Lonchura striata: one gene and its partners. The protein of the gene in region 4 purifies or fractionates together with the protein of the main gene of each other region. This does not show direct contact. Links are inferred from orthologs where the notes say so. Each region holds a gene or a part of one and is shown on either strand. Other genes may lie near its edges. The genes, in order: EIF3B, CSNK2A2, EIF3J and EIF3H.

Evidence for each region.
Region 1: the proteins of EIF3H (region 4) and EIF3B purify together in Homo sapiens (affinity purification with mass spectrometry; 10 studies listed by BioGRID and IntAct, counting the BioPlex papers as one, with this or other methods). This does not show direct contact. The link is inferred for Lonchura striata from reciprocal best matches to the Homo sapiens genes EIF3H and EIF3B.
Region 2: the proteins of EIF3H (region 4) and CSNK2A2 purify together in Homo sapiens (affinity purification with mass spectrometry; 5 studies listed by BioGRID and IntAct, with this or other methods). This does not show direct contact. The link is inferred for Lonchura striata from reciprocal best matches to the Homo sapiens genes EIF3H and CSNK2A2.
Region 3: the proteins of EIF3H (region 4) and EIF3J purify together in Homo sapiens (affinity purification with mass spectrometry; 3 studies listed by BioGRID and IntAct, with this or other methods). This does not show direct contact. The link is inferred for Lonchura striata from reciprocal best matches to the Homo sapiens genes EIF3H and EIF3J.

What each region holds. Positions count from the first base shown.
Region 1 is NC_134618.1:13,450,569-13,457,449, reverse strand, and holds the start of EIF3B (eukaryotic translation initiation factor 3 subunit B), read right to left. Parts: upstream 3,021-6,881; 5' UTR 2,881-3,020; coding exon 2,493-2,880; intron 1-2,492.
Region 2 is NC_134615.1:17,523,614-17,531,086, reverse strand, and holds the start of CSNK2A2 (casein kinase II subunit alpha'), read left to right. Parts: upstream 1-4,471; 5' UTR 4,472-4,510; coding exon 4,511-4,614; intron 4,615-4,824; coding exon 4,825-4,936; intron 4,937-7,473.
Region 3 is NC_134613.1:24,048,853-24,056,681, forward strand, and holds the start of EIF3J (eukaryotic translation initiation factor 3 subunit J), read right to left. Parts: upstream 3,014-7,829; 5' UTR 2,944-3,013; coding exon 2,916-2,943; intron 2,835-2,915; coding exon 2,734-2,834; intron 1-2,733. Other genes in the region: CTDSPL2 (CTD small phosphatase-like protein 2), read right to left, coding at 7,751-7,816. UniProt on the Homo sapiens protein: Component of the eukaryotic translation initiation factor 3 (eIF-3) complex, which is required for several steps in the initiation of protein synthesis.
Region 4 is NC_134603.1:15,127,524-15,134,561, reverse strand, and holds the start of EIF3H (eukaryotic translation initiation factor 3 subunit H), read right to left. Parts: upstream 3,002-7,038; 5' UTR 2,970-3,001; coding exon 2,850-2,969; intron 1-2,849.

The DNA of each region.
Region 1 (6,881 bases), on a different chromosome or scaffold from region 4:
CTGCATGTCCAGCATCACTGTAATTAAGAATCACACTCTAGCTAAACCTTTAATTAAGCACAAAAATGAAGGTCTAAGGTAAGACACTGAAAGCCCTATTTAATCTTTGTGAAGACAAGCACACATCTTTTCACACTGAATATTCTTCTAACATATTAATACCTGAATATTTGCAGAAAGCTTTAAGATTAAGTGAAGAGCACTATAAAGTACAAGACTACAGAGAAAATAAGTTCACACCACCATACTTTTGAATTAGATAATATTTGGAGTCAGACTATGTACAGCATGCATAGACTAAGAAATAAAATTCCAAACACATGTAGAAAAACTTAAAATATGAGAACAAACTAAAAAATGTTTTGTATATGCTTATATTTCAAAGACATTAAATTTTTGTTGGTTTTGTAATTCAATAAATTTTTCTGCCCAGAAACATCACTGGAAGGATCTCCAGCAATGAGGAAAAATGAGAAACATGCTTACTTTGAATTTCAAACTACTAAAAATTTGCTTTGTACAACTTCAAGCTTCAACAGATTATTCCACATGAAGCTTCCCATTGATCTGGAGCAACATAAATCACAAATATCTACCCCATTACCACCAAGGCTATGTAGCATCCACAGAATGTTGTTTGCAATATTTATCACTCAAAAATATCATCTGCATGTGCATGCAGGAACTACAAATAACGATATAAAATACATAAAATGAAAGCATGTCCTACAAAGACATTTCCATAGGAGTCTACTAGCAAAAGGAGAAAACCAAAGTAAAACACAAAAGGGTAATTAAGGCTCCTTTAGGCATTTTTTTCATAGCCACTTCTCAAAAAAGACTTTGTAGGCCAAGGAACGCACGTTTAGATTCCTGAGTAGGAACACCATGTATAGAACCAAAACTGTAACAGACTGAAGACAAATTCCCACACCGTGCCCTTAAATTCCAAATAGTGAACAAAGGAATCTTCAAAGAGCAAGAAGCTGGTTCAGCCAGCTCCTGCTGCAGCCAGGAGGGAAGCAGGGTGTGGTGGGTGCAGGGCTATCTCCAGCTGGCAGCACTTTAAGGACCACTGCCATTATCTGAACTGAAGCTTCACTGGTACCCAAGTGTCTGTCCAACACATCCCTTCTGCTTTAACTCGGATCAGCTGCTCTTCCATGCCAGCAGCTGGGAAAAGAAGAGGCAGGAAAGGATCTGAGATGTTCCAGTCCTACAGCTGGTCCATCCCACAGGTACTCCTGAGCATCTGTGTTAGCACAGCATTGAAAGAGCCTTGGCTTGGTCACACTGGGCTGCTCTTCTCCTTGGGGAGGCACCAGAAAAATGGGAAAGGAATAAGGAAGCTCAACTAGCAACACACACAGATGGAAAGCCAGATCAACAAGAGTGACTAAACTTAATCCCTGTAATTCAGCCACTAACACTGGATTTCAGGCAGCTGAGAAGTTCACCCAAATTAATTAACAAAATAGGTGGGGGTGGAAAATATGCCCAGTTTCTAAGAAGGAACTGAACATAACAATCCCACATATACACAAAGTGTATTAAGCAGGCACTTAACAGAAAGAATCCAACTCCAAGGCAATGTTGCCAAAGTCTCTTTAAGAAACAAAAGTTCAAACAGCTGCCATACAGACTGCTAAACTGAGAACAGCAAACACTTCCTTAATCTAGGATATTTGGCTGCTGTTTTAGTAAACTAAACCAAGGACTGGAGCACAAGAATGCACCTGTATTCCACTGCCAGTTGAGATAACTGGCTGATTTACAGTTCTGTGCTTTAGAAGCATCTTTCCACTTTTGATACATGTAACAGACCCTAAAGACCCTAAAATAGCACAAATGCTGAATAAATAATGGGGAAAAAATACGTTTGCTATTCAAAAACTAAGAATATTTATCTGGAAAGACCCATCTGAAAAACACTAAATTAAGAGTTCTCACTTCTGTATGACAAGCCCATGTATAAACATTTATTGTCTGTGCAGATACACAACAGTTTGGCAATATTAAGGCAGTCAACAGCCAGTACTTTTATAAAAGTCTGGGCCGACATTTTTAGCTGCCAGAAACGACTTTCCCCTATTTTCTTATCACAAAGCACTTACATCACATCTTTGCGAGCAGTAACTCGTCTCAAATCCTATTTACCTACTGATTTCATTCTGGGCTCATGAAAAAAAAAAGAAGAACGATGAAACACAGTTTGTAACCACATCGACCATTTAAAAAATCTGTTTCTACAGCTGAGTTTAACCAGTGGAGCAAAAAGGCAAGGCAGCTGGAGACTGCGCTCAGGGGGCAGCCCACACCTGAGGTGTACAGCGGCTCAGAACCGCTTCAACAGCAGCTTTTAGAGCAGCGGGGCTGTGCGGTGCAGAGAGAACTCAAAAAGGGACGATTTGAGAAGCACAGCTCGGATGCGGAGGCGCAGGGCTCGGGGCCCAGCGCTCCCCGGCTCCCCACGGGCTCCCCCCGTCCCGCACCTTCGTCGCTGATGTCGTCCACGAAGTCCTCGGGGTCGCTGAAGGAGATCTCATCCTCGGGCTCGGCCGGGGCTGCGGGCGCGGCCTCCCCGTCCTGCTGCGCCGCGCCGGGCTCGGCCCCGGCCGCGGGCTCGGGCTCGGGCTGGGGCTCGGCCTGCGCGGGGCTCTGCCGGCCGGACGGCGGCCGCGGCTGCTCGGGCTCCTCGGGCGGCCCCTGGGACTCGCCTCCTCCTTCCCGCTCCTCATCCTCCTTCTCCTCCGGCTCCGGCTCCGGCTCCTGCGGCGGCTCCGCGGGCGGCGCGGGCGCGTCCGTGAGCTCGGGCTGCTCGGCGGGGCCCAGCGCGCCGGGCGGCGCGGCGGCCGCGGGGCTCTCCTCGGTGTCCTGCATGGGGCGGTGCCGGGTGTGGGTGCGGTGCCCGGTGCCGGGTGTGTGTGCGGTGCCGGGTGTGGGTGCGGTGCCCGGTGCCCGGTGCTCCGGTCCCGGAGCCGTCCGGAGCGCGGCGAGGCGGGGGAGGGGCGGGGCGGCTCCTACGGCCGGGCCATGTGCGCCAGGCCCAGCGGCCCGCGCGCGCCGGCACCTACCAACGCGCGCGCGGCCAGAGGGGGAGCCCCGCCCCAGCCGGCGCCGCCGCCCGCCGCCGCCCGCTCTCCCCGCCGCGCACAGGAGATTCCGGTGCCTTTGCCAGCCCCGCCTCGCTCCGCCAGCGGCGGCGGCTTCGCCTTCTCACCCCACTGCACGCCTGACATCCCTATTTCTGACTGCTGTGGTTGAGCCCAAGATGGCGCCGCCTTCCATTCTACTGGGGTGGGGTCCGGCCGAACCATCTTTTGGGGGGCGCCGTTCCATTTAGCTGCGCTGACGCCCAGTGAAACCTCCTCCCTCAGCACATGTCGTTGCCCATGACTGAGCGGCCGGTGACAGAACAATGCCGCGGTGACAGGGCAGCGCACTGCCACGAACCTCGCCCTACCGCTCCCCCCTACAATCTTTCACTATGGCTTCGCCTGATGGCAGTCGGCGCGCGCGCGGGCACTACCAAGCCGGTGCGGAGGGGGAGGCGCGCGGTGCTTCGCCAGCATCGACGCGGTTGTGCCGGGGCGCGGCGAGGGCGGCGGGTCAGCGCACCCCCCGCGGCGGCGGGGCCATGTGGTACGGCCCGGCGGCAGCGCCACATCAGCCGGGCGGGACGGGGCGCGGGGCTGAGGGCGGCGGCGGAGACCGAGCGCTGCTCTGGCCCCACCTCTCCTCTGTGGGCTTGAAATAACATTTTTCCTGAGGTACAAGGTGACAGTGGCCATGCTGCGGCATCTCTGCCTGCCCCGCGAGAAGCCTTAAAGGTCCGGTGAGCTCCCGGTGCAGCCGGACACACAGGACAGGGATCTGAGGGGTCACGGTGTGCAGTCCTGGCGGCTCAGCGTGATTTTTAAATGGTTTCTGAACTGGTGAAGCTCCCCTATCTTCACGTTGGCTACCAGCATGACTGACCCCAGAGACTTGGCCACACGTTATCGATTAAAGCATCGCATGCTGTCCCGGGCACCTCAGGCTGATGAAGAATACAAAGAATACATAAAGTGTGACTCGTGTCACGATGTGTATTTATATACATATATATGTATATATACATATATATATGTATATATATACATATATATATGTATGTACATATATATGTACATACATATATACATACATATATATGTATGTATATATATATGTACATATATATATACACACACATATATATATATATATATATATCGTATATTCAGTGTGGCTCAAAGAACTTGGAATTTACCTTGAGATGACAATTCTAGAGGAAAAAGTTCTCGAGAATGGTTCCTCTGTACAAACTTGGAGACAAACACTTGCGTTGAGTAGGATTTCTTTTTTTAGCACAATGCTTTCAATTAACTGTCAAAACAGACAATGCCAGCATTAAAAAAAAAAAAAAAAAAAAAAGGCAGAGAAGGTACTGTACATGGCATTTTTAAAATTAGACTTTGTGCTGTGTAATTTTTCAGGGAGGCACACGATGGCATCCAAACTCCACTCCAGTCCCCCGGCTGAGTGTGCCCGTTCCCTGCTGAAGGCAGCTCCGGTGAATGGAAATGATGACTGCCACTTTGCAGCAATTTTTCCCCCTCCTGGTATCGTGGTAGCTGACCAGACCCTGACTTCCAGTCAGCACCAGCACTGACTCTGAAGTGAACAGAAAGTGCTGTTTCCTGCCATCACAACTGTGTGTTTTTCCAAATGTGAGGCAGGACAGGCTGCTGGTCAATCCATGGTCCCTGCTGGGTGCTCAGTATTCCGTGGCTCTTCCAGGGCTGTGTATGAGGTCGGTGTTGCTGTTGTTTCACCGTTCCCACCGTTGTCTGCATTGCTGGAATGTGCAATTTCTGCAATTGCCCTTTTTCCTGTTTGCACTTTTCCAGTCCTTTGGTTAAGCAGTGGATCTAAACATTGGATTCTCCTTTCCCTGACATTGCACAGGCTGCTCTTTGCACTTTCCTCTACTTTTCAGCAACTTTTGATTTATCTGCTCTTCCTTCCTTCTCCTTTTCCTTTCTCTGTTGAAATTTCCCCTCAGTCCCTGTCCTATCTCACTGCTATTCTTTTTTCTTCCAGCCCTTACTCAGCAATCTGAGGGAGAGTAGAACAACTTTTAAAAACAGAGGTTTTGGCACTGGCAGCTGAAGCCTGTTCCTTTAAGTACTCCACATGCAAAACTCCTAATCAATGGGAAATTTGGGGGGAAAAAATGTTGCAGGAAAGGCTTTTTGTAACACAGCTCTCCAACCAGCAGTGCCTCATGAATTTTATTGCGTGCAGGTGATCTGAGAATAGTGGAGCTGACAGCTCTGTTTCCTAAACTGAATTCTGAAGGAGTAAGCAAATTCTTGTATGAAATTTCATCTAATCCTGACAGGACGTGCCCAGAATGACACTCTGTGAGGCAGGGCCTCGGGTAGGGACCTATTTCTGCTTTGCTTTTGTCACCTGGAACCTGCTGGTTCAGCCCCTCTGGTGAGCCCCAGCTGGAGTCGTGCATCCAGCTCTGGGGTCCCAGCACAGGAGGGACAGGGACCTCTTGGAACAGGTCCAGAGGAGGCCAATAAAATGCTCAGAGGGATGGAGCAGCTCTCCTGAAGGAAAGGATGAGATAACTGGGATTGTTCAGCCTGGAGAAGAGAAGGTTTCAGGGTGACCTGACTGTGGCCTTTCAATACCAGAAGCGGCCTGCAAGAAACATGGAGAGAGACTATTTACTAAATTGAAATAGAGTAGGTTTTGATTAGATATTAGGATTATTTAATTAGATATTAGGAAAAAAACTCTACCCTGTGAGGGTGGGGAGCCCCTGGCACAGGGTGCCCAGAGAAGCTGAGGCTGCCCCATCCCTGGGGGTGTCCAAGGCCAGGCTGGATGGGGCTTGGCACAACCCAGGCTAGTGGAAGGTGTCCCTGCCCACAGAATGGGGTTGTAACAAGATGATTTTTAAGGTCCCTTCCTGACATGTGTCCTTTTTTTTCTTTAGTATTTATTGTTTATTCTTAAGGTTTTCCAGAAGCTTTTGCTGCAGTTACAGCAAATACAGAAGTGTTCAATAACTTACATCAAGCAGACTCTTTCTGATCCTGTTGAAAAATTATTTCTGCAATTGAATTATTTTCCACAATATTTTTCTTCAAGACTCCAAGGCAATCTTCAGTTGAGAATATCTTATTTATACCAAATAAATAGTTATGCTATTAGCTTAAGTACAGACCAATCAAAAATCTATAGCTAAATGAGAACATGTTGATTCCTCCATTCATTTTCTCCAAAAATGCCATATAGGCGAAAAATCCTGTGGTGTTCAGAAGTGCTGAGCACGCAGAACTCTGCTCAGCTGCTGCACAAACATGATTTGAAGGGCCTCTCAGCTTAAATAATGTCATGCTTTTTTAATTTTATACACAGCTTTCGTCTGCACCCACGCTCGTGGGGACTGAGCTGAAATAGCACTGAGGGAGGAGGAAAAGGAGAATCACTCGACTCATTCACATCTTTGTAGCAGCGCAAAAACTTCCAAAGGGGAGCACTGTGGTCACAGTTAGCCCTGAAATAATTCTCACTTCATAATTTTCTACTTTAGTTCTCTCCTGTGCACAATGGAGGTGACTAGCTTCCCATGATTAAGAAATATCAGGAATATTAATTAGGGAATGCATCTAGTCCTTTGGACGTTGAAAACATAAAGCATTATTATGGATTGTAACACCTCAATCTGGAAGTCCAAAATCTATAAATTTTTTTCTGTGTCTGACAGTGTTTTTAGGAAAATTGCTGTACAAAACATGCACCTTTTTTTTTACCATGTCAGCTATATCATTCCTGACTAA
Region 2 (7,473 bases), on a different chromosome or scaffold from region 4:
TGAGGGTTGTGCTGTACAGACTGGTTTGGCTGGGTTGGTGCTTTACTGTGGTTGATAGATTTTTATCAGATGCTTTTACTTGTTAAATTTTCCTTGGTTGTGGGAACAATCCAGCAAATAGTAAAAATGATGGAGCACCAGGAGACGTGCAGCCAAGGAGATCATTTGTTTGGCTGGATCCCTTCCTACACAAGGGAGGCTTTGTGTGAGCTCACAGAAGAGCCGTGTTCATCTTGCTGTGGGTAGAACTGGCAGCAGGCTTCAGGCTTTGTCTCCTTGCAGAGTCAGGCTGGCTTGGTTCTCCACGGAGCCGAAAACTCATTATTTCCAAGGTTACAGCCAGGCTGCTGGGAGGCTACAGCTCCTTGTGAGAAGTGCCTGTCTCCCAGCAGCATTGCCAAGGAGGCAGCCGTGCCTTTGGACAAAGGAAGAGGTTTGTGCTGGTCTCAGAAAGGAATTCCATGCTGCCTGTGAGAGCTGCCATGGGGGTCGTGCTTCTTTGGCAGTGCTGACCTCCTCGGAGAGCTGCAAAGCTGGGGGAACCCATGGCCTGTGGGTCAAAGACACGGGCTGGTCATGGTTCCACCAGCACCTGGTCTCCAAGGTGGACTGCTCTGGTAGAGGTACATATGCAAAACTGGAAACTGATCAAATGCATGTGTGGAGGATTGGCTGCAGTGGCAGGGGGTGTGATGGCAAAGGGACAGCCCTCCCCGGGGTCTCCTGGGGTGCACATCACTCCTGCTCCTGCAGCACCAGCTCCCAGAAGCTCCTGACTAGGCACTGCCTCTGGGCTCCTTGTCACCAGCTGGGCCAGGCAGGACTCAGTCCAACAGCTGGGTGCTGAAGGCTCCAGAGGGGTGCAGGCAAACACTGGCCCCCTGCTCCCATCTGAGGTACATCTGCACCACGATGGATGTTTCTCTGTCCGTGACACTACAATCTTCCTCTTACAGACTGCTTTGTCACAATCTGGATGTAAAACTGGGGGGAGCAGTAGCACCAGTCCTGAAGGCAGCTGTCCCTACAGGCATGCCTAGTTTTAGGAGCTTTGTGAGGGTGTGGAGAATCATTTGTAAGTATCCCTGTTTCTGGATCTAGACCATGGCACAGCAATGTGCTCTGACTTCTCTGTGCGAGATGCTCAGGGCCAATGGCAGTGGATGGCAGGTCTGTTTAAATGTGTGTGTCTCCTCCAAAAGCTGATGATGTGGCCAGTGATGCTTCACCACAGCTTTTTTTGGGATGAGGGATGCAAGTCAATCTAATCATATATACATGAGAAAAATCAATGCCCTGGCAAAGCCAGTCCTATTTCTGGCTAGAACATGTCAAAACTCATCTTCAAAATGCATCTTGAGTCATAACCACATCCAGTTCACAGGAGGAACCTCACTTCCTGGCCTTGTTGGGTGCAGGGATGAACATCCTTCATTGTGGGATCTTCACCACATACAGAACTTGACACCAGAAATTGAGTGGTTTGGAATGAAGAGGAGGGAACAGCATGCATAGGGCATACCCTGGAGTTCATCTTTGGATGCAAGGTGGGATGAAGATCCCATGAAAAAGCTGAACATGTGGACATGAATTAAAAGCTGTCTTCAAAGCAGTGCTTGTGTGTGTTGGCTAAGATTGCAAAGATAACTCTAACACCCTGTCTCCACACCAGGCCATGGCTGTGATGCCTCAGCCTGCCACAGGCCATGTTTCAGTAGGTTAAAAGGAGAGGCATCTGAGTGACCCAGCAGAGCCATGATGGGTGGTGGGCAAGAATGGCATCACTGGACAGCCAAGAGATTTTGCAGATGCAAAATGTGGAGTGCAGATTTTTGAAGTGTTTATAGCTCTGTCCAGCCACACACAGCTTTTCAAAGGTCAGCAGGAGACCTAGCATATCTCTGCCAGAAAATTTGTCCCTTGTCCAGAGATCTTGTCTTAATGGCTAAACAAATATTTTCCTTGACTTTTCCCAGGTGGGAAACACCTGGGCTGTTATGGCCAGATTTGAAAATAATAATAATAATAATAATAATAATAATAATAATAATAATAATAATAGTAGTAGTAGTAGTAATAGTAGTAGTAAAAACAGACCTCTAGCATTTCAGTGAAGGTAGGTAAAGCTTGGCAAACTTCCCATAACTGCAAACTGGGCTTTTTGCTGTGGGCAGTGCTGGGCAGCATTAGAAGGCAGCAGGCAGCCGTGGTGCCCAGAGCTGGGCAGCCCAGGCACCAGCTGGAGGAGCTGGCAGCAACTGGCCAGCTTTCCTGCCAGGAATCAGCCTGGCAAGCCAGTTCAATAGCCTGCCTGTGTCCCACTGGAAAACATCAAGGAAGATGTCACCAGTGATGAAATTGCTGACAACTCAGTGGACTCTACCAGGAAAATTATCCATCAGAAAAAAAAAAATTGCCATCTCTATGCTTGAGCATCTCTGCCCAAATAGTAGCACCATGTGGAAGAGAAATTCCCTTTTAGCACAGGATTTTGCTGTGGTCCCATGCAGAATTTGCTGTGAGAGATGAACATCTCAGCTGTTTAGCAGGGCAGCTCCAACCACCTCACTCTGCAAAAACAGCCACATGCACATCCTGGCGTCACAGCGCCGCTTCAGCTGGTGACTCAGGCATTGGCCTTTGCATATCTGCCATCAGCTCCAGTTTATGCAGGGCCTGACTGCTTTGCTTATGCATTTCTACATCTCCAGATCCTAGGAGATGATGTTTGTCTTCACTCCACAGTCGTGGTAGGAAGGGCCAGTCAGCTGGGCTCAGGATGGGGCAGCCTTCCCAAAGGACAGATGATCTTCCTCTTGCTTTGTTAAGACAGGTTTCGCAGGAGTGGGTGTCACATCTGCCTTTTCCCTCCAGGGCTGACTGCCCCAGAAGAGCAAGCATCATGAACATGTCCTCCTTGTTTTCCAAAGATCCTGTGAAAGTCCTGCCTGGTCTGCATTCAGTCAGGACTCAAAGTATGAAATTATAAAGTCCTCCTGGGTTTTTTCATCATTCAGTCTCAGGCACACAGAAAGCTCACTGGGTTTTTCAGTGTCTGGTTGAATCCACATGCTTATCTTTCCAGACCGGGCTGCACCCAGCCCACATGGGCTTGAGGAAGAGCTGGGGTTGGTAGCTCCCCTGGGACTCAAGGAGGTGAGGTGGATTGAAAATGTGGTGATTAGCAGCACAAACTCTAGCTGGAGGCCAGTCACTAGCACAGTATCTCAGGGGTCATAACCACATCCAGGTCTGTTGGGAAGGAGCTTTTCTGAAAAGGATCTGGTGATCTTAGCAGGCACCACACTGAACATAAACCACAGAGAAGACTAAGGGTGTCCTGGGTTGCCTTAGTCAAAACATTAACAGGAGGTGAAGAGAGGGGATGTGCTCAGCCGTGGTGGATCACCGCTAGTGCTTTGTGTCCAGTGCTGGTCCTCTCAGTGCCACGGAGATAGGGGCACAGTGGGGAGAGGCCAGTGAAGGTACACGGAGGTGAATGAGGGACTGAGAGAGGGGGCAAAGCAGAGGGAGCCAGGCTCTTCCCAATGGTGCCCAGTGCCAGGACCAGAGGCCACTGGCACACGCTGGAACACAGGAGGGTCCCTCTGAACTTGGGGAAACACTTTTTCATTGAGTAGGACCAAGCACTGGCACAGCTGGCCGTGCACGTTGTGAAGGCTCCATCCTTGGAGATGTCCAGCAGCTGTCTGCACACAAGCCAGGACCGCCAGCCCTGGGTGACCCTGCTGGAGCAGGGCTCGGACCAGATGACCTCCGGAGGAGCCGGCTGCGGCTCTGTGAGCTCCTCCAGAGGAACACGGAGCCTTTTGTTCACCCCAGCTTCCACCTTGGGGCTGGCGAGACGTGATGGGGCGACAGGAACAAGGAGAGAGTGCGACTGCAGGCGGCGATGGGGTGACAGTATACCAGGGCTGTGGCCAGGCTGAGGTGGGGTCGTGAGGGGGCAGAGGTGACGCTGTCCGCAGCGGTGTGAGGGAGTGCCGGGGGTGTCAGGGTGTGGCGGGCGTGCGCCAGGCTGCGATGGAGCAGGCAGGGGAGGCTGGGGACGGCTCGGCTGCAGAGGGTTGCCGGGCTGGGCGGCGACACGGGACGGGTGGCAGCAGACCGGGAGGCTCCGCGGCGGGACCCGGCGCCTGAGGGGCGGGCGCGGGGCGGGCGCGGCCGCGGGGCCGGACCTCCGCGCCGCCGGGGGGCGCCGCGCGGCGCTGGGCGGGCGCGGCGGCGGCGCCGCCGTTTCCGGGTTGGCTGCGCGGCGCTCGGGGCGGCCCCGCCTGCAGCCGCCGGCACCGGGCCCGGGCCTCGGCAGCTCCGCGGGCCCCGCGCCCGCCGCCCCCGGGCCGGCCCCGCCCCGCCGCGGCCCCGCTCCGGCCTGGCCCTGCCGCCCGCCGCCGCCGCCCTCCTGCGCGCCGCGCCCCGCCTCGCCGGCCTCCCGCGCCGGCCCCGCGCCCTCCTCCTCCTCCTGCTGCAGCCGCCGCCCGGCGCCGCCATGCCCGGCCCGGCCGCCGGCAGCCGGGCGCGGGTGTACGCGGAGGTGAACAGCCTGAGGAGCCGCGAGTACTGGGACTACGAGTCGCACGTCCCGAGCTGGGGGTAAAGCGCCGTGCGGGGACCCGCCCTCCCTCCTCCCGCGGGAGGGCCCCGGCCCCTGGGGAGGATGTCCCGGTCCCCCGCTCCCGTGCTGGGGTGTCCCGGGGGGCTGCGGCGGGGAGAGGCTGGGAGAGGACCCCGCTCCCCGGCCTGCTGCCGTGTTAGTTGTCCGCTCTTCCCCCAGCACCGCCTCTCTCCTCTTGGTGCCCGCAGCAACCAGGACGACTACCAGCTGGTTCGAAAGCTCGGCCGAGGGAAGTACAGCGAGGTCTTTGAGGCCATCAACATCACCAACAACGAGAGGGTCGTCGTGAAGATCCTCAAGGTGAGTATCCCGTTGATGATGTAGAGGCTTGTGGTGGCTGGGAGCAAGACAGAGAGAAGCTGGGTTGGCAGGGCCAAAGAACTGTTGGATCTCTTTCTTCACTCCAAAACTCCTGTTTTCTCGTTAAGATCATTGGGATGGTGTGTTTGGAAATGGAATTGGTGTCTTGAGTACTGTAGTGATGTTCTGATGTCTCCACCCCTCCTTGTCCAGCATAGCTCAGGGCTGAGAGTTCCTCTGGTGGGGGAGAGCCGAGTCCTGACATTTGAACAGCGTTGCGTGTTCTGTCTGTGTTTGGCAAATCGTATCTGGCAATGCCTGTCTGAAACAGCCCAGGGACAGCCATTTCAACAGGAATGTGAAGCCTGGAGGGGGGAATCCTTCTGTTAATCTCTAGACAGCCGGCATGTGGCCTTTCCAGAGCCAGGCTGTGGGATGCTCAGCAGTTTAAAAAGAACCAATATTTTATATTCAGTCCTTTAGAGGATCTGATGTGGAAAAGAGCTTCATCACAGTCATACTACAAACACTATGGAAACTTGAGGGGGCTCAAGGAAACCTACCAAACTTTGGCAGTGCTGGTGATCTGTTTGCTGGTGTGTTGAACCTGGTGGGGTTGAGCTGTGGGGACCTTTGTGCAGCACTGGGAGGTTGTAGTTTGGGATGGCTGTGCACAGGTTATACACTGCGGGGCATGTCTCACCATGTTTGACACTGAAGCAACAGCTCACAGCAAGCTGTGCTGATTGTCCTAGCAGCACTCTGTGTTGGTGATCTCGGGGCAGGCAGGGGAGTTAAGACAGAGATGAAAGGTTAGAGTTGCAGTATGTTTGATTCTGGCTTGGCTGACACTTGTGGCTGTCACTTGTTGCACCAGCAACACTTATCACTTGTTCCCCAAGAGCACGTGGGAGCCAGTGTCTGACCATGGGTGTCCTAAGAATTTGGGCACACATTCATCCACAGCATGCAGGGGGTTCTGAGCTTAATGTGCCCGTGCACCACTGAGAAGAGCAGCTTTCCGGGACATGCATATCTGCAGGGCTGTAGCCTTAAGGCACTCACTAGATCCACTCAGATGGCATGTCTGGCTGTCTCTGCTGACATTCCCACTCTCTCAGTGTGCCTGCTTCCTCGGGATCTGCCTTAGCTTCCCAAAGAACTTGTCATGGTTTGTCCAGCCAGCACTTCTGGGAAAGGTATCATCTTCCATCTGCCTCTGGGAGGAGGCACGCAAACCCCAGCTTTGGCTGTGGGCAAGGAGGTGGCCAGGTGAGCTGTCCTCTGTGGCTGAGCCTGATGTGAGAGTGGTGAGGTTCATGTGTCCTTGCCAAGCCAGGTTCCTTTGGCGTGCTCCCCCTCCTTTGGATTCTTCTGTGGTTTGGGGTTTTGTCTTTTTTAAAGCAGATGCAGGCAGGAGTTTTTGCTGTCAGACAGTAGTCACAAGTGGCAAGTGCAGAGCTGGATTTTACAGCAAGATGCCTGGTGGCTGGCCTGGGGAAACTGTGCACTTGTGCATGCTCCTCTGGAGCCCTTGGTGGCCTCTTTGGGACTGCTGTAGTTTATTGAAATCCTAGCTTGGGCACCACATAGAAAGGCACCGCAAGACTGAAAGGAGGCTGCAAGAAAAGTCATCAGAAACCCTGCTCCTTGCCTGTTCCCAGCCCAAAGAGCCTCCCCTGGGGCAATGCTGCTCTCCTTGTGGCAGCTGAACTCTGTCACAGCTAGGGAGCCTGTCAGCCTTGGACAGGGAGTCAGCTGGCAAGAGTCATCTGAGGGCAGCTGGGTGCTCCTTCTCCTTGGGGCCTGAATGTGTTGCCTTAATGCCCTGCAAGCAGGAGACTGGATTGTCCCAGATATGAAGTGGATGGTGTTGCCACTGGTTCCCCTGGCTCTCTCCACTGGCATTAAAATGCAGACAGCATTCCTGTGAGTGAGCAAGGAAAAGCAGAAGGTCCAGATAAATAAAGATGAACTTTCTCCTCCGTGGAAAGTGGGTCAGTGAAAAGGGAGTTTCAGAGCACCACGTTGTGTACATTATGAAAACCTGTGAAGTGTGGCAATAACATCACCCTGATCTGTGGAAAGTGCCTCTGGTTTCCTGTAACTAGACTCAAAACTTAATTGCAAACATAATTGCATGTATCTACAGGGGAATCTTAGCAAAGGGACTGGATGTCTCTGCTCCTCCTAACTGGGGAAAAATTTGGATTCTGTGAGATGAGAAATGCAGGTTTTTGTGTGATGCAGGGATGAGCTAAAGGGAAGTACCATGGTTGGGCAATGGATGCAGCTGTTTAGCACAGTCCTTTCTCTTTAACATTTTTGAGAGTACAATTTATGTTAGGTGTTAGGGTGAGTTTCACCAAGAGTCACTGTTTTGATATCTCAACTTCATGGAAAGTCACTGGTGTGTCTTCCTAGCCTTTGCTCTTTGAAGCAGCTTGTCCTTACTGAGCCCAAGCTAGCACATAGCAAGTAATTCCCCTGCTTTGGCATTGTAGTACCTGAACATCTTGTACCATCCTCCACAGAGG
Region 3 (7,829 bases), on a different chromosome or scaffold from region 4:
TATAAATCCAGGGAATTCCGAGTCCTGCCAGCCTTGCCTGGTTTATAAATCCAGGGAATTCCGAGTCCTGCCAGCCTTGCCTGGTTTATAAACCCAGGGAGTTCTCTGGGAGGAAGAGCCAGCTGCCTCATGCTGTGTCCTTGCAGTGATACAGTAATTCCCAGAGAACACATTCATTGCCCAGTATTTCAACACTGTTTCTGTGTCCTCCAGCAGCCCAGGAACATCCTCCCAGCAGCTGGGAGGTGGCAGGGACTGGGCCCTGGCTCCCAGCTCCAGCCCAGCTTGGGATGGAGCAGGCACTGCCCTGTGCCAGCCCTGAGTCAATGGATGAAAATCCCCTGGCAGCAGGCCTGACTTCTGGGGAACGTGTGCTGGGGAACACTGCGAGGAGTTTTGTTACCAAAGGTGCTAATTTTAAACCCGGGAAGCTGACGTTTCCCAAATTAACAGTTACTGCAAACTCATTACCAAAAACCCTTCCAAAACACAGATCTGCAGATACAAAGCACACTCCTCAATGTGAGGTGCCTTAGGAAAGCCGTGGCCAGAAAACTTTGTGCTGCCACTTTAGACCACGTCATCCCTCACGTGGGGATTTCCCCATGTGGGGCCTGGCACCGAGGGATCCAGAGCTGAGCAGGAGTCTGGCAGGAAGAGCAAATCAAAGGGAAATAAACCAAAATAAACCACCTTTCTTTGCTGGATCCTCTCTAGACGCAGCTCTGGCACCAAACCCATCATCCCTCAGAAATAGTCAAGCAGCTGCATCCTCACGACACATAAGATGTAAAATGTCTTCCCACTGCCAGGGGCAGGGATGGATGGGATACTGGGAGGGATTGTTCCTGGGAGGGTGGGCAGGGTGTGGGATGGAACTCCCAGAGCAGCTGGGGCTGCCCCTGGATCCCTGGAATGTCCCAGGCCAGGCTGGACAGGGCTTGGAGCAGTGGGAGGCGTCCCTGCCATGGCAGGGGTGGGACAGGATGGGATTTAAGGTCCCTTCCACCCCAAACCATTCTGGGATGGCATGTGGGGAACATTTGTTCCTTTATTAAACACAGACCCCTCAGGTGACTCCAAGAGAAGCACTCTGGTGCAGTTCTCCTGGGCACATCCCATCCAGCAGGAATGCTGCTCACTTTCTAAGGAAGGAGGAAAGGCAAATGTCACAGTCTGAGCTACAGGTGTCTGTGCACACCTGTCAGTCACAGAGGGGTCAGTCACACACACCTGTGTCACTCCCACACTCTTTCCCAGTGCCCGGAGCTGCTGTGCACACACCGTCCTTGTCCTGCTGCTCTAACCTGACACCGGGACACTGGGCTGGGCTTGCTACTGAGTTAAAGAAGGGAAGTTACCAAATTTCTGTGATTCTGTGTGTATCTTCAGGGTTTTTAAAAGATTAACTTCTTTTCCTGTACCGTTTATGGGAAGAACTCCACCTGAGCCCCAAGAAAATCTCGTGGTGCTTTTCAGAGATCCTGGTAACAGTGTCCTCAAAACCAACCCCAAGTCCTCACCCAGCGCTACAATGTCCCAGAGCTGGAGGAAACAAAAAGAACTTTTGTAGTTGCCTTATTCCACTGACAGAATCCTAGGATGGTTTGGGTCTGAAGGGGCCTCAGAGACCACCCAGCTCCACCCTCTGCCGTGGGTCGGGACATCTTCCACCCTGCCTGGCTGCTCCAAACCCTGTCCAGCCTGGCCTTGAGCAGTCCCTGGCACTATCCATATGGATCCGGAGGTTTCTGTGGCACCACCAGCCTTCCAGGGGAGTCCAGCAGGAGCAAACAGCGTTTGAGGGAGCTCTGCCTTCGGAAGCACCAGCAGCGATCATCCACAGGTTCTATCCCACCGCCGTGCAGACAGCCCGGCAGGACGCACCTCGTGGTGAGCGGGGCAGGATGAGGTGGAAGCTCAGGAGGAAAAGACGCCCTGGTGGAGCACAGCCGCTCCCGGCCAGCAGCAGAAGCACCAACGCAGCGCTGCCGTCCTTCAGCCCGTCCCGGCGCCTCGCCAGCGCCCCGAACAGCTCCACGGGCTGCAGCCAGCGGGGGCACAGCGCCCCAAAGCCGGGGAGCAGCCGGGGAGCGGCCGGGGAGCGGCGGGTGGATCCCGCGGGGAGCGGGACGTGCCGCTCCGGCAGCGTCTGCGCGACCCTCCCCGCCCGCGGGGCCCGGGACAGCGGCACCGGCACCGGGCAGGGCCGGCCCGGCTTCTCTTGGCACCGGGACGGAGCCCGGAGCCGCCGGCACCGGGAGCCCCGGGCTGTCCGGTGCCGAGCCCCGAGCCCGCCCCGCAGGTCCCGGGACAGCGGCTGCGGGCAGGGCCGGCTTCTCTTGGCACTCCGACTTGGCTCCGTGACCGAGCCCGGAGCCGCTGCCGCGCGGGCGGAGCCGCCGGCACCGGGAGCCCCGGCACCGGGAGCCGCCGGCACCGGGAGCCCCGGCACCGGGAGCCGACGGCACCGGGAGCCCCGGCGCCGGGAGCCCCGGAACCGGGAGCCGCCGGCACCGGGAGCCCCGGCACCGGGAGCCCCGGCACCGGGAGCCCCGGGCTGTCCGTCCCGGCCCCGCCGGTGCCGAGCCCCGAGCCCGAGCCCGGCCCGGAGCCGCGCACGCCGCCCGCCCCGCCGGGCCCGCGGCCCCGCGCTCGGGCGCCACACGGCCGCGGCCCGGCCGCCCCCGCCGCCCCCCGGAGCCGCCAGCGGCGGGGCCCGCCCGGCCGCACCTTCACGTCGTCCTCCTCATCCTCGCCGGCCCAGCGGTCCCCGGCCACCCCCGGCACCAGCCGCTTCGCCACCGGCTCCACCACCTCGAAGCTGTCGGCGTCTGTGGGGAGAGGAGCGCGGTGAGCGGCGGGGAGCGCGCGGCGGCCCCGGCCCGGCCCGGCCCCGGCCCCGCCGCACCCACCCCACGAGTCCGCCGCCTCCGCCGCCATCTTGGCCCGACCGCGGCCGCCGGGCGGCGCCGCGCGGGGCACGCCGGGACGGCGGCGGAATGACCGGGCCCGCCCCGGAGGCGGGGCCCGAGCGCGGGAACGGGGCGGGGACGGCGCGAGGGGCGGGACCGAGAACGGGGCGGGGCCGGGAACGGGGCGGGAACGGCGGGAGGGGCGGGACCGAGAACGGGGCGGGGCCGGGAACGGCGGGAGGGGAGGGACCGAGAACGGGGCGGGGCCGGGAACGGGGCGGGAACGGCGGGAGGGGCGGGACCGAGAACGGGGCGGGAACGGCGGGGGCGTGGCCGGGGCGGGGCCGGCGGGAGGGGCGGAGCCGGAGAGGGGGCGGGACCGGGATCGAAAACGGGAACGGGACCGGGAAACGGGATCGAGATCGGGGCCGGGATCGGGATCGAGATCGGGGCCAGGAACGGGAACGGGACCGGGATCGGGACTGGGATCAGGATCGGGACCGGGATCGGTACCGGGAACGGGATCGGGAACGGGACTGCTGCTGGGAACGGGATCAGGATCGAGAACGGGATCGGGATCAGGATAGGAAACGGGATCGGGATCTGGACCCGGACCCGGATCGGCCCCGGGACCGGCATCCCGCTGCCCCGGCCGCAGCCCGGGTCTGTCCCGGGGCCGCGCCCGCCCGGGAGCGGAGCCGAGCCTGGCCGCCCGGGACCGGCCGTGCTCCGGCACGTACCGGCACGGCCCGGCACGGCCGGCACGGCCGGCACGGCCCGGCACATCCCGGCACATCCCGGCACGGCCCGGCACATCCCGGCACGGCCCGGCACGGCCGGCACGGCCCGGCACGGCCCGGCACATCCCGGCACGGCCGGCACGGCCCGGCACGGCTCGGCCCCGCCACGCTCGGGCCGCGCACGCCGCGGCGCCAGGCTCCGCTTCCCCCCGTGCCCTGCAACGCGAACAGGAACGGCGGAGCCGCTCGCTGTTCGCTTCTTCACCGCCAGTCCCAGCTCCCCTGAGAACCCCGCACGTGGAAAAGGAGGATAGATTTTGTCCGGAGAGAATAAATTTAGAACGTGTCTTTCATAAACCAAAGCAATGATCTCGGTATACGTCTATATAAACCACACACGTGTGTCTAGGAAAAACACGAATTAAAAATAGAGACTTCCAAAATTATCATCCTTTTCCTGTTCTTCTCCATTTACCAGACAATATAAATAATAACAGAGCCATACCTACGGATCAAACAATGCCACAAGTTATATCCTCACCAAGTCTACACATCTTCACAGCCTCAGGGTGCTGTGGCAGGTGATCACAAAATCACCAGGAATTGTGCAGTAATTTGGAATACGTTAATACTGGAATATGTAATTTGGAATTCTAAGGAATTACACAGAACGTTTAAATTTTTCCTCGATAGTAAAACACAGACACAACTTCTTCCACTTCAAGGCTGAAAACTGTCTTGACTTATAGAAAACTGAGGCTCAGTGAAGGATATCAGCTAAAAATCATAAAAACAGAATCCAGAGCATAAGTGTTTAATTACATCTTTGTGCTTCTGTAGACTAGAAATGATTGCAGAAGAAACAGAAATCCATAGCACAGGACTTCTCTTCCCATCATATTTAACAAGATTCGGCCCCATCAGTACAATGACATTTTTGCAAGTACCAAGAACAAAACCTTCTCCTCCTCCTCCTCTCCCGCGGGTCCCTCCTGCCCGGGGCAGCCCTGGCACTGCGATGCTGGGCAGGGCAGGGCAGGGGACGATGCTGGGCAGGGTTTTTGTCACAGCAGGGCTTCTGTCACCCTGCCAGGGTGGCTTCCACATTTCAGGGCTCTCCCCAAACGCCATCCGTCCCTTCGCCGACACCGTCCGCCAGTGGTTTGGGAGATTCCCCATCCAGTCCGGGCACATTCGGGCTCCTGCTACATTCAAACCATGGAAATCATCAGGTGGGTGAATCCGAGGTGGGGGAAGCAGGACCAGAGGCGAGGGCAGTCCCAGGGAAAACAAAAGCCTGAACAGGAACTGCCACCCAAGGGCTGGAGTGTGACCGAGCTGCCAGAACCAAGGGGCTCCAACACAGAACAGAATCCACGGGGACACGGCAAACAGGCCACCACAACCCAGCACAGAGCACAGAGGAAATCATTCAGAACCTTGGCAATAGGATGCGGTGCCTTCCGTAAGGACAAAACCATATTCCGTGAGGGATGGGTGATCCAGCTGCACGGTGCCCTGCTCGGGGGGCACGAGCCACGCTCGCACTGGCTGAGCCTGCCCAGGCACGGGGGTGGTGCTGGGGACACAACCTGACCCAGAGCTCGGCACGGGAACAGGGAACTCCCCCTCGAGATGAGCATGACAGAAATAAAACCTGTGGATGAAAACTGCTCCGCACCAGGAAGGTTTGCAGGAGGCAGGAGCGCTCTGCAGAGTTCAGTGGTAAACACCAGGCTTGCAGCACAGGAAAATATGAATATTTAATATGTTTACTAAGAATCCCTGTCAGTCCCGTTGTGCACCGATGCAGAGCTACGTCCCCACGTTTACATTCGGGCTTCCCTCGCGGATCTGACGGGCACAGCACGCACACAGCTGGGAAGTGCGGCGTGCCTTTGGTTTCCTCAGCTCTGGAAGCACTTTTGGAAGGGCCGGAGCCACAGAGGACCTGGGGATAAGGATGTTACTGGAACAGGTGAACATCCCATCACGGCTGGAAAAGGCCACGAGCTACAGGTGGGCTCCGTCTGGCAGATCCGTGAATTTTACAGCAGGTCCGTGGTGTGGAGGAACGGGAGGAATCCCCTGTTAGGCAAAGCTCCAGCAGGGAAGCGAAACCCCTCGGACTCAGATTTACACGGCGAGGAACGAGTGAGGAAGGGCTGCAAACCGAGGGGCAGCTGCACAAAGCTGCCCCTTGCAGGGTCCATCCATCCAGCTCTCCACCAGGGGACACGGCTGCACCAAGCAGATGTAAAGGTAATGTTCTGTACATTTTATTTCAATAAAGACATAAGACAAACAGCGTAAAGATGCCCAGATGCCCTAAAGATAAATACATTTAAAAGATTCTCATTAAAATGAATCTGTAGTATTTCTTTCCTGCAAGCAAAATACCTTTCTTTAAATACAAAAAAAATCAGTATTCTGAATTGCAAACGTTTTCACTTTTTTTGCAGAAAATCTGCCATGATGACTTTGTTTTTAATGAATAAGGATTTTCCACAAAACAGGCTTGCTCTACATGCTAAGTTTTAACAGTTCAGTGACACCATGTGCTAGCTACATACACAACAGATAATATAGTAAGAAAACACTCAACCTGATGAAAAGTTAAAATCTTCATTAATACACTGGAAAAAGTTGACATAACTCATGCCTTTTAAAATCAAAAATACAAAAATTAAATGTTTTGCTAAAAAGATTTTCCTTATTTTAAGGACTCATTTGAAAATGAAGCTGCATGTAATTTGTACAATAAAATTGTACAAGTAAACAGGTAATATACATAAAAAATTAATTGACATACTTCTCAATTATCAGCTGTCCACCTTTAATTTCCAATACTGTACTTTCTTATCAAGCATACAAAATAGCAAACTTCTCTTTAGAAAAAGTGCCGTTCTGTGACATCTTTTACACAAAACCAGTCCGAGCCTGTGGCGTGGTAATGCAGTCGAGAGGCAAAGCTTCCTAACTCGTACAAATGCTACCTTCCATAGAAAGCCTCCGGGAAAGGCGACTCCCACGGCCAGAAAAGGTCCCCTCGGGGCGCTGCATTAGGAGCCAGGGCCGGGGTGGCCGCAGAGGAACCGGGAGTGTCGCGGGAGCCCTGCCCGGGGCAGCGGGAGCAGCCTGGCCACACCTGCCAGGTGAGCACACAGCAGAGCTGAGGTATTCCTTGTCCATCGTGGCGCCGCTGCCAGGTGTGCTCTGTCCAGAGGACGTGCCAGCGCACTGCTTTAGGATATTCCCAATATTAGTAATCCTTATCTTCGTCTTATCTAGCCAGTCTCTTGATTTTTTTTTGAAAAGGTTTCGACTACAGTAGAATATTACAGAAAGAAAATATAAATGCGGGGTTTTTTTGTTGGGTTTTTTTTTTTTTTTTTCTTTCTAAATGAAACTTACGTGGGCTAAAACTAGAGAATATTTTTAAACAAATATACAGGATGCAGGCAGACAAAGCAGGGAAACGGCCAGCCAACTGTTTAATAAAAAACTAACAAAATTTGGCTATTTCCAGAAAAACTATGAAGCGCCTCAACTAAAAGGAATGCATAATGAAATTCTAATCTAATACAGGTCAAAAATGTAAAAAGGTTATAAACCTTAACAGGAAAAATAAAACAACTTTTACTGGCCATTCCTGTTGAAATGAGAATCTTAAAAGTAACAGAAAAGTGGCTACAAACCCACTTAGAGCACCGAACAGAGAGAAAATCCGAGTCCATTTTCAATCTCTGTTGTATCATAAAATCCTGTGTTTCTACAGGTCAAACTGCTGGTGGCAGAAACAGAATTTTCTTTATAAACTGCAGATGTCCTGTACATAAAAAATTTCCTTGGAGTTGCACTAGTTCTAAAGACTTTTCTGTTCTAGCCTCCCTACTGCGGGTACTGGATTGTACTGATGGCGGCAACCTCAGGTGCAGAAAGTCTCTTTCTGTAACCCTTGATCATTGCTGGGCACCAAAGATAAGAAAAGCAAGACGGGGTACAAAAATGCAAAATTTCAACAGTAATGGCAATGTTTTGTATTAGTCCAACAGGGTCCTGCATTTCCTCCCCTCGGCAGCGAGAGCAAAGGCTTTAATCGGGGGGTAGCAAATCATGCAAGCGAAATCTGTCTCTGATGTGAGGTCGGACGTCTTCGTTCTGTGGGGGAAAG
Region 4 (7,038 bases):
CATCTACATGTTTTTTCAAACACTTTTGAGGAATGGTGATTCCACCACACTGGGCTGCCTGTTACAATATTTAACCACTCTTTCAGTAAAGAAATTTTTCCTAATATCCAATTTAAACCTCCCCTATACTAACCTGAGGCAATTTCCTCTTGTCCTATCACTTGTTACCTCGGAGAAGATACCAACCCCACCTGGCTACAGCCTCCTTCCAGGGAGCAGAACGAGTGGTGAGGTCTCCCCTGAGCCTCCTTTTCTCCAGGCTGAACACCCCCAGCTCCCTCAGCTGCTCCTCTCAGATTTGTGCTCCAGACCCTTCCCCAGATATGCTCCAGGGCCTCAGTGACTTCCTTGTAGCAGAGAGCCCAAAACTGAACATGGGATTTGAGGTGCAGCCTCACCAGTGCTGAATGCAGGGAGACAATCATTCCCCTGGCCACAGCACTCCTGATCCAGGCCAGGAGGCCACTGGTGTTTTTGGACACCTGGACACACACTGGCTCATGTTTGGTTGCTGTAAACCAGCACCCACGGGTTCTTTCCCACCAGTCACTCTCTCCCAGGCCTGTGCACCACTGTAAACACAAGCTCTCTTTGGGCTCCTTGACTGGAGAAAACTATCCAAATTTCTACAATAGGAAGGACAACAGGACGCAATATATGGCACTTGATCTGATCTTTTTGTCAGGATGGCCAAAAACAAATACGTGAATTCTTACATCTCACCTGAAAGAAAAACACATTTTATAATGTGCTTCTGGAGGGTTATTTTTCACTCTGCATTTTCTAATTTTTTACAAAGACCAGGCCATCTACACTGGAATCTATTTTCAATCTAAGTATTTATTAAGAAATTGAGAAGATTAAAGTAAGAAAGAAGTTAACTCCAGGATGCTTCATCTGTACCAGATTTTAAAAAGAGGTCTGAGAAGCAGACATTGCTGCATTGTTACATATTAAGGTAACAGCATAACATTTAGAACTTCTTATTTTCATGACAGATACTGGGGTTTTTTAATTTATTATTCCTCTGAAACACCAAGCTTTTTAAACATACTTTCACCTTCTCACATACAGAGATAACTGATGCATCTTCTATTTTGCCCTCAGATTCCAAAGCAGCCTACCTAGACATGCCTTTGCTTTCAAAGCAGCCCCATTTGAAGGATTAATTGTGACAATGCCAAGAGAAGAGACACCACTGAAGAGAAAGAGATCACCAACTCCCCTGATGCCCATCACAATTCAGAATTCTTGGCATGTAATCACCCTGGTCATCATCAAGATGACTGAGGAAGTCCTGTTAATTTGTGAGGGCAGATAAGACATTTAAACCAGTGAGGTATCAGAAACACTTCAGAAGAATTTCAGTAAGACATTTGAAGGACTTATAACTGAATAAACTTTGTTTGCAAAGCAAACAAATTTATGCCAACGTTTCTGTCCATCACAGATGTCAGAGAAATTTATGAACCAATGTCAATGTCCTGAGAACACTTTGGCTAGGAGACATCTTCAGGGGTGGAAAGTTGAAAGCTTTCATAGTTTTCAGTAAATCACCTCCCTCTGTAGTGACACTGTGTGAGAGGCACCACTGTGCTGCACCAGAAAAAAATACAAGGAGAAGGGAAAAAAAGCATGAAACAAACAAATAAAAAAATCCTAAACACTTGCTGGACTGTCAGAAGCAGAGCATCAGAGACACTCACAGTTGATCTGAAACAACAGCAGCTCACAAAGCAGATTATATGCCTGATAGAGAACAATCAGGAGCAACATAAATCAAATTTACCAGCTTTTATCTAAGTGTTTGGCACCAGCCTGCAGCAGGAGCAGTCTGCTATCTACTGCTGGGTTTTTACGAACATTTCACAACCAGTCAGTTTTCACCACTCCTTGAAAATGCTCCATGCACCAAAGCCACGGGCACACAGATAGCTGGACAGAGCAGGGCAGAAAAAATGGGATTCAGATTTCCTCTTTCACAAGTCCTTCTACACACAAATAAATTATTTTTCATCTTCCCAAATATTTACTACACTGTATATCTCCAGGATAAGAGCTGAGGACTACCACTAATAATGCCAAGCAGGCTTCAAAGTTTGTCTCAAAACTATGATTTTATTTTTCATAACCAGGGTACCAACTCCTTCACACTCCAGCTGTACAATGTTCTACTGACACTTGGCAAAGCTAATGAAGTAAAAAACAATGTTTCCACCCCTAAGTAACTTTTTCTCCTTGTGTCATTAATAGTGTTACCAACTTTCTAAGGCCTGAACCAACAAACACAAAAAGATCCAGCAGCACAGCCAAGAACCACCTTCAGTAGATGCTCTTCCACTTCAGGCCTGCACTGATTGTCTGTATTAGGATGGCTCTGTTCTTTGTCAAGTCATTTCACCCGTCACTTTATTTTATTTCCCATTAAGCAAACGCAGGGGGTCATGGCAGCCCTGACAGAGAAGGCAAAAAGCACAAGGGTGAGGGAAAAACCCACCGTGCTCTCAGCTCTTAGACCTGCGGCATTTTCTGGCAATAGGGTATGACTGTGAGTAGAAAAGCAGCAAAGAGCAACTCCGGGCACAGGGGCGGCGGAGCTGGAAGGTGAAATGGGACATTTAAAGAGAAATCACTCTGCCCCGGCCCGGCTTTTGCTTACACGGGGCGCGAGCCGCTCCCCTCACACGGACGAGGGCGGGAGCCCGGCCGCAGGGACGCGAAGCCGTTCTCGCCCGCGAGAGGCGCCGGTCCCAGCAGACACGAGGCTCCCGCGGCACCGCCCCACGGCGGGCCCCGCCGGCGGCTCCAGCGGCCGCCTCGCCCGCGAAAGCCCCAGGCCCCCTGCTCACCAGCCCGTCGATCTGCACTTGCTTGACGGCCGAGTCTCCCGCGGCGGCGGCCTTGCCTTTGCCCTTGGCGGCGCCGAAGCCGCCGCCGGCAGCGCCCGAGCCTTCCTTGCGCGACGCCATGGCTGCCCGCGGCCGGAAACGGAAACGCGCCCGCCGGAAGCGCCCGCGCGGCAGCGGCGGTGCGCGGCCAAACGGGCCCGGGCGGGAACGCGGATCGGGGCCCGGCACGGCGGCGGTGCCGGCTCGGCCCGGCCCGGCCGGCCCGAGGCTGCCGCAGAGCCTGTGTGGGTCTGGGCCAGCTCATCCGACAGGAACGGCCGGGAGAGCCGCCCTGGCGCCTGCCCTCCCCACAGAGTCATTGCCTTGTAAAACCGCCACGATGTCCAAGCTGTGCCCAGACGCGCCGTGTCACCTGCACCACGGCGCTGAGTGCCGCCTCCAGGCGTCTTCAACACTTCCATCCATACCGACTGCACTGCACGGGCAGCCCATTCCGGTGTTTAATCGTCCTTTCTGTGAAGAAATTCTTCCTGATGTCCAACCTCCCCTGGTACAGCTTGAGGCCATGCCCTCTGCTCCTGTCACCCTGGCGCTATTTACCTGGGAGATGAAAATTAAGAAAAGATGTTCTTTGACATTTGCTCTTGGTGTATCTTCAAGCCTAATCAACAAGAAAGGAGACTTAATCTGTGAATTAGATAGCAGCTAACAAGGGCTAAGTGATGTCCAGGCATTAGAAATTAAAAATACTTGTTGCCTTGTTAAGGACTAGTGCTGGATATGCTTCAGTGATCTCAGACCTAGGGGGAAGTTAACAATGAGCTTGGGAAGAAGGATGTGCCATTGACAGTGGGCACAAAGAATGCAGAATTTATGGGCCACGAGGACATTTGACAGACCCCTCAAGATGAGGAAGAAACTAATAAGGACAACTCAACAACTGTGCTGCATCAGCTTCCATGAGGTAAAAAGCAATTCCAGCAGTGGAAAATCATGACTCAAGAAAGCCACCAACTCAGAGGAAGAGGAAGACTTAGCATACAGACTAATTAACATGAGAAGTGAGAGAATCATTAACCAATAGAAGATAGAACACTAATTAATAAGATAACTAAGTAACTTCTTATGAATGAACATTAGTGCCTTTGTTAAAATGCATAAATAGTGAAAAGTTTTGGTAGTCATTTTGCTGGCTTTGTGGATTTGCCACCCAGCACCCCTTTCTGCAGAGAAGTGTAAAAAAATGAAATACCTCAGCTCTGTGTGGATTGGCTTCTTGCACACCAGGTGAAAGAACCTGTTTGGTACCACTTACAGGGAGATGTAGAGAGCAACATGGTCCCCCTTGAGCCTCCTTTTCCCCAGGCCAAACACCCCCAGCTCCCCCAGCTGCTCTTCATCAGACCTGTGCTCCAGAGCCTCCACCAGATCCATTGTCTATCTCTGGACTTGCTCCAGCCCCTCAATGTTCTTCTTGTAGTGAGGGGCCCAGAACTGGACACAGCCCTTGAGGTGTGGCCTCACCAGTGCTGAGGGGAGGGGAAGGGTCACTGCCCTGGTCCAGCTGCCATTTGGCCCCTGGCAAAGCATTTCTGACAGCCCAGAAACCTCCATCTGTGCATTTCCAGGGCCACCTCAGGCAGTTCTGATTCCACAGTGATGTGAATTCCCAGCCCTGTTGCTGGGCCAGCCCTGGGCTGCAGCGAGGGCTCCCCAGCATGGTTGAGGAGACTCTGGTCTTGAGGAAGTATTTACGCCTAATAAACCTGCAAATGTTAAGGGACATGTACTTCTTATAGATTTGAAAGCTTTGTGTAGTATCTTTACAAAAGGCAAACTGCTGTGGGGTGATGTGAATATCTGTCCTGAGCATGAATAACGAGACATCAGTGCCAACTCTTAACATTACACAAATCCCTGAACTATCAACTTCTGCAATTCTCAGGAATGAGTTTGGGTTGCATTAAAACAGTTGGTTTTGCTGCTCCATTTTGTTTGAGGTAGGGGTTTCTTGTGTGAATTTTTTTAAATTTAATTTCAAACTCTTCAAATTCCTTCTGAAAAATGCAACGCGCTATGAAAGGCAGCCCTACCAAACCCCCCAGATCTGTTCAGACACTATGCCAAATATGTGACTTCATAAAAATTTATCTTTTCAACAGTGTAGTTAACAGTCATTTCTAATTAAGGGTGAGGAACATATTTATCAAGACCAATATTAAAACGTATCTGCATTTGCCTGCGGCCACAGACCCAACATTTGCCTGTTCCTATAAAACGATTCTAACATCACTTAGAATAGTCCTTATCAGTTGCTTGCATTGATGCTGGAGCAAATTGAAACAAAGAATTGAGTATAATAATCATCCCAGCAAGGCAAAACATATCCTAAATTCCACTGACATCACTGACTAAACTGCATTGACCCTAACAAGAAATCTGGGCATCCAGAAGAAATCTGGGCATCCAGCTTTGCTGAGGACACCTTGTGATAGATGTCTAAAGCAGGGTATGATGGATCCCACTTCACATTTTCCATTGGGAAAATAATTCTTAAATGGAGATGAAGGGGCAGTTCAGAATGGCAGCATTGCTATGTCTGAGATTGCAAGGCAAGATGTATTCTGTTGCCATCTGTTAGAGGTGTGTCAGTTATCTTCTCTTAATTGGACAGTTTTCTTTATCTCTTCCGCAAACCAATCCTCCCACCACGGAGACATCTGCTGTTAATGGGCCATTGAATGTCACTGCATGACTGATAAAAATTACAGCATCCCACTGCAAAATGCTCCTCCCAGAGGGAGGAGGCAAGCATTTCCACCTGGATATAATGAGTTTCTGGAACATCAGCATGGCTTTTTCTGCACTGGATTTCCCAGAGGAATACCTGCCTCTTCTACTGCATCTTCAGAGGAAGACTACACCCTTTTCTACAGGATTACTGCTCCAACAGAACCACACCTAACCCTCCAGGAGTACTGCAGCCATAATTCCCAATTGGACTGCTGCCGACACCCTGACTAACAGGGTGTCAGTTGTATTCTGTCAGTGTTGTTTTAGTTCACTGCATTGTTTATTTTATCTTTTTCTTTCCTAATAAAGAACTGTTATTCCTGCTTCCATATTTCTGCCTGAGAGCCCCCCTTAATTTCAAATTGGTAACAATCCAGAGGGAGGGGGTCTATATTTTTTTTTTAACATTTCAGGGAAGGCACCTGCCTTCCTTAGCAGACACCTGTCTTTCCAAACCAAAACACACTGAGGTCAAATGTGCCTTGTGCCCCAAAGAAACTGAAGTGCATGTGCAGTGGGATCAGGGAGATTTCCTACAAGCAGTTTGTAGAGAGGCTGATGCAATAATATCCCTGATCTTCAGGGCAGTGTGCTGTGGCCAGCGAGCTCAGCTATCATGTAGGTATTGAGTCCTGCCCTTAGGTTTCCATGAAGGCTGCACTCCCACTGGCATTGACTTCTGAAGTTTTCCTAGATAATGGAGTTAATTCAATATTATTATTTAACTTAGCTGTTATATTAACATGAATATCCAGTTTTAATTCACAATATAATAGTCACAGAATCACTGAATATGCTGAGTTGGAAGGGACCCATCAGGATCACTGAGTGCAGCTCTGGCTGCACAGGACATCCCCATGACTCACACCATGTGCATGAGAGTGCTGTCCCAATGCCTCTTGAGCTCTGTCATGTTTCATGCTGTGACCACTTCCCAGGGGGGCTGTTCCAGTGCCCAGCCGCCCTCTGGGTGAAGAAGCTTTTTCTGATCTCCAACCTAAACCTCCCCTGACTCAGCTTCATGCTGTTTCCTCAAGTGCTGTCACTGGTCATAAGGGTAAAGAGATCTACACCTGCCCCTTTGCTTCCCCTCCTGAGGAAGCTGTAAACTGTCATGAGGTCTTTCCTCAGTGTCCTCCAGGCTGAAGAGACCAAGTGACCTCAGCTGCTCCTCATACAGCATCTCCTCAAGGCCCTTCATCACCTTGGTTGCCCTCCATTGCCCTCTTTAATGGTTTAATATCTTTTTATATTGTGGTGACCAAAACTGTCCCCAGCATTCAAGGTGAGGCTGCCCCAGAGCAGAGCAGAGCAGAGCAGAGCAGGACAAGCCCTCCCTTGCCCAGCTGGTGATGCTGTCCCTGATGCCCCAGGACAGGGTTGGCCCTCCTGGCCA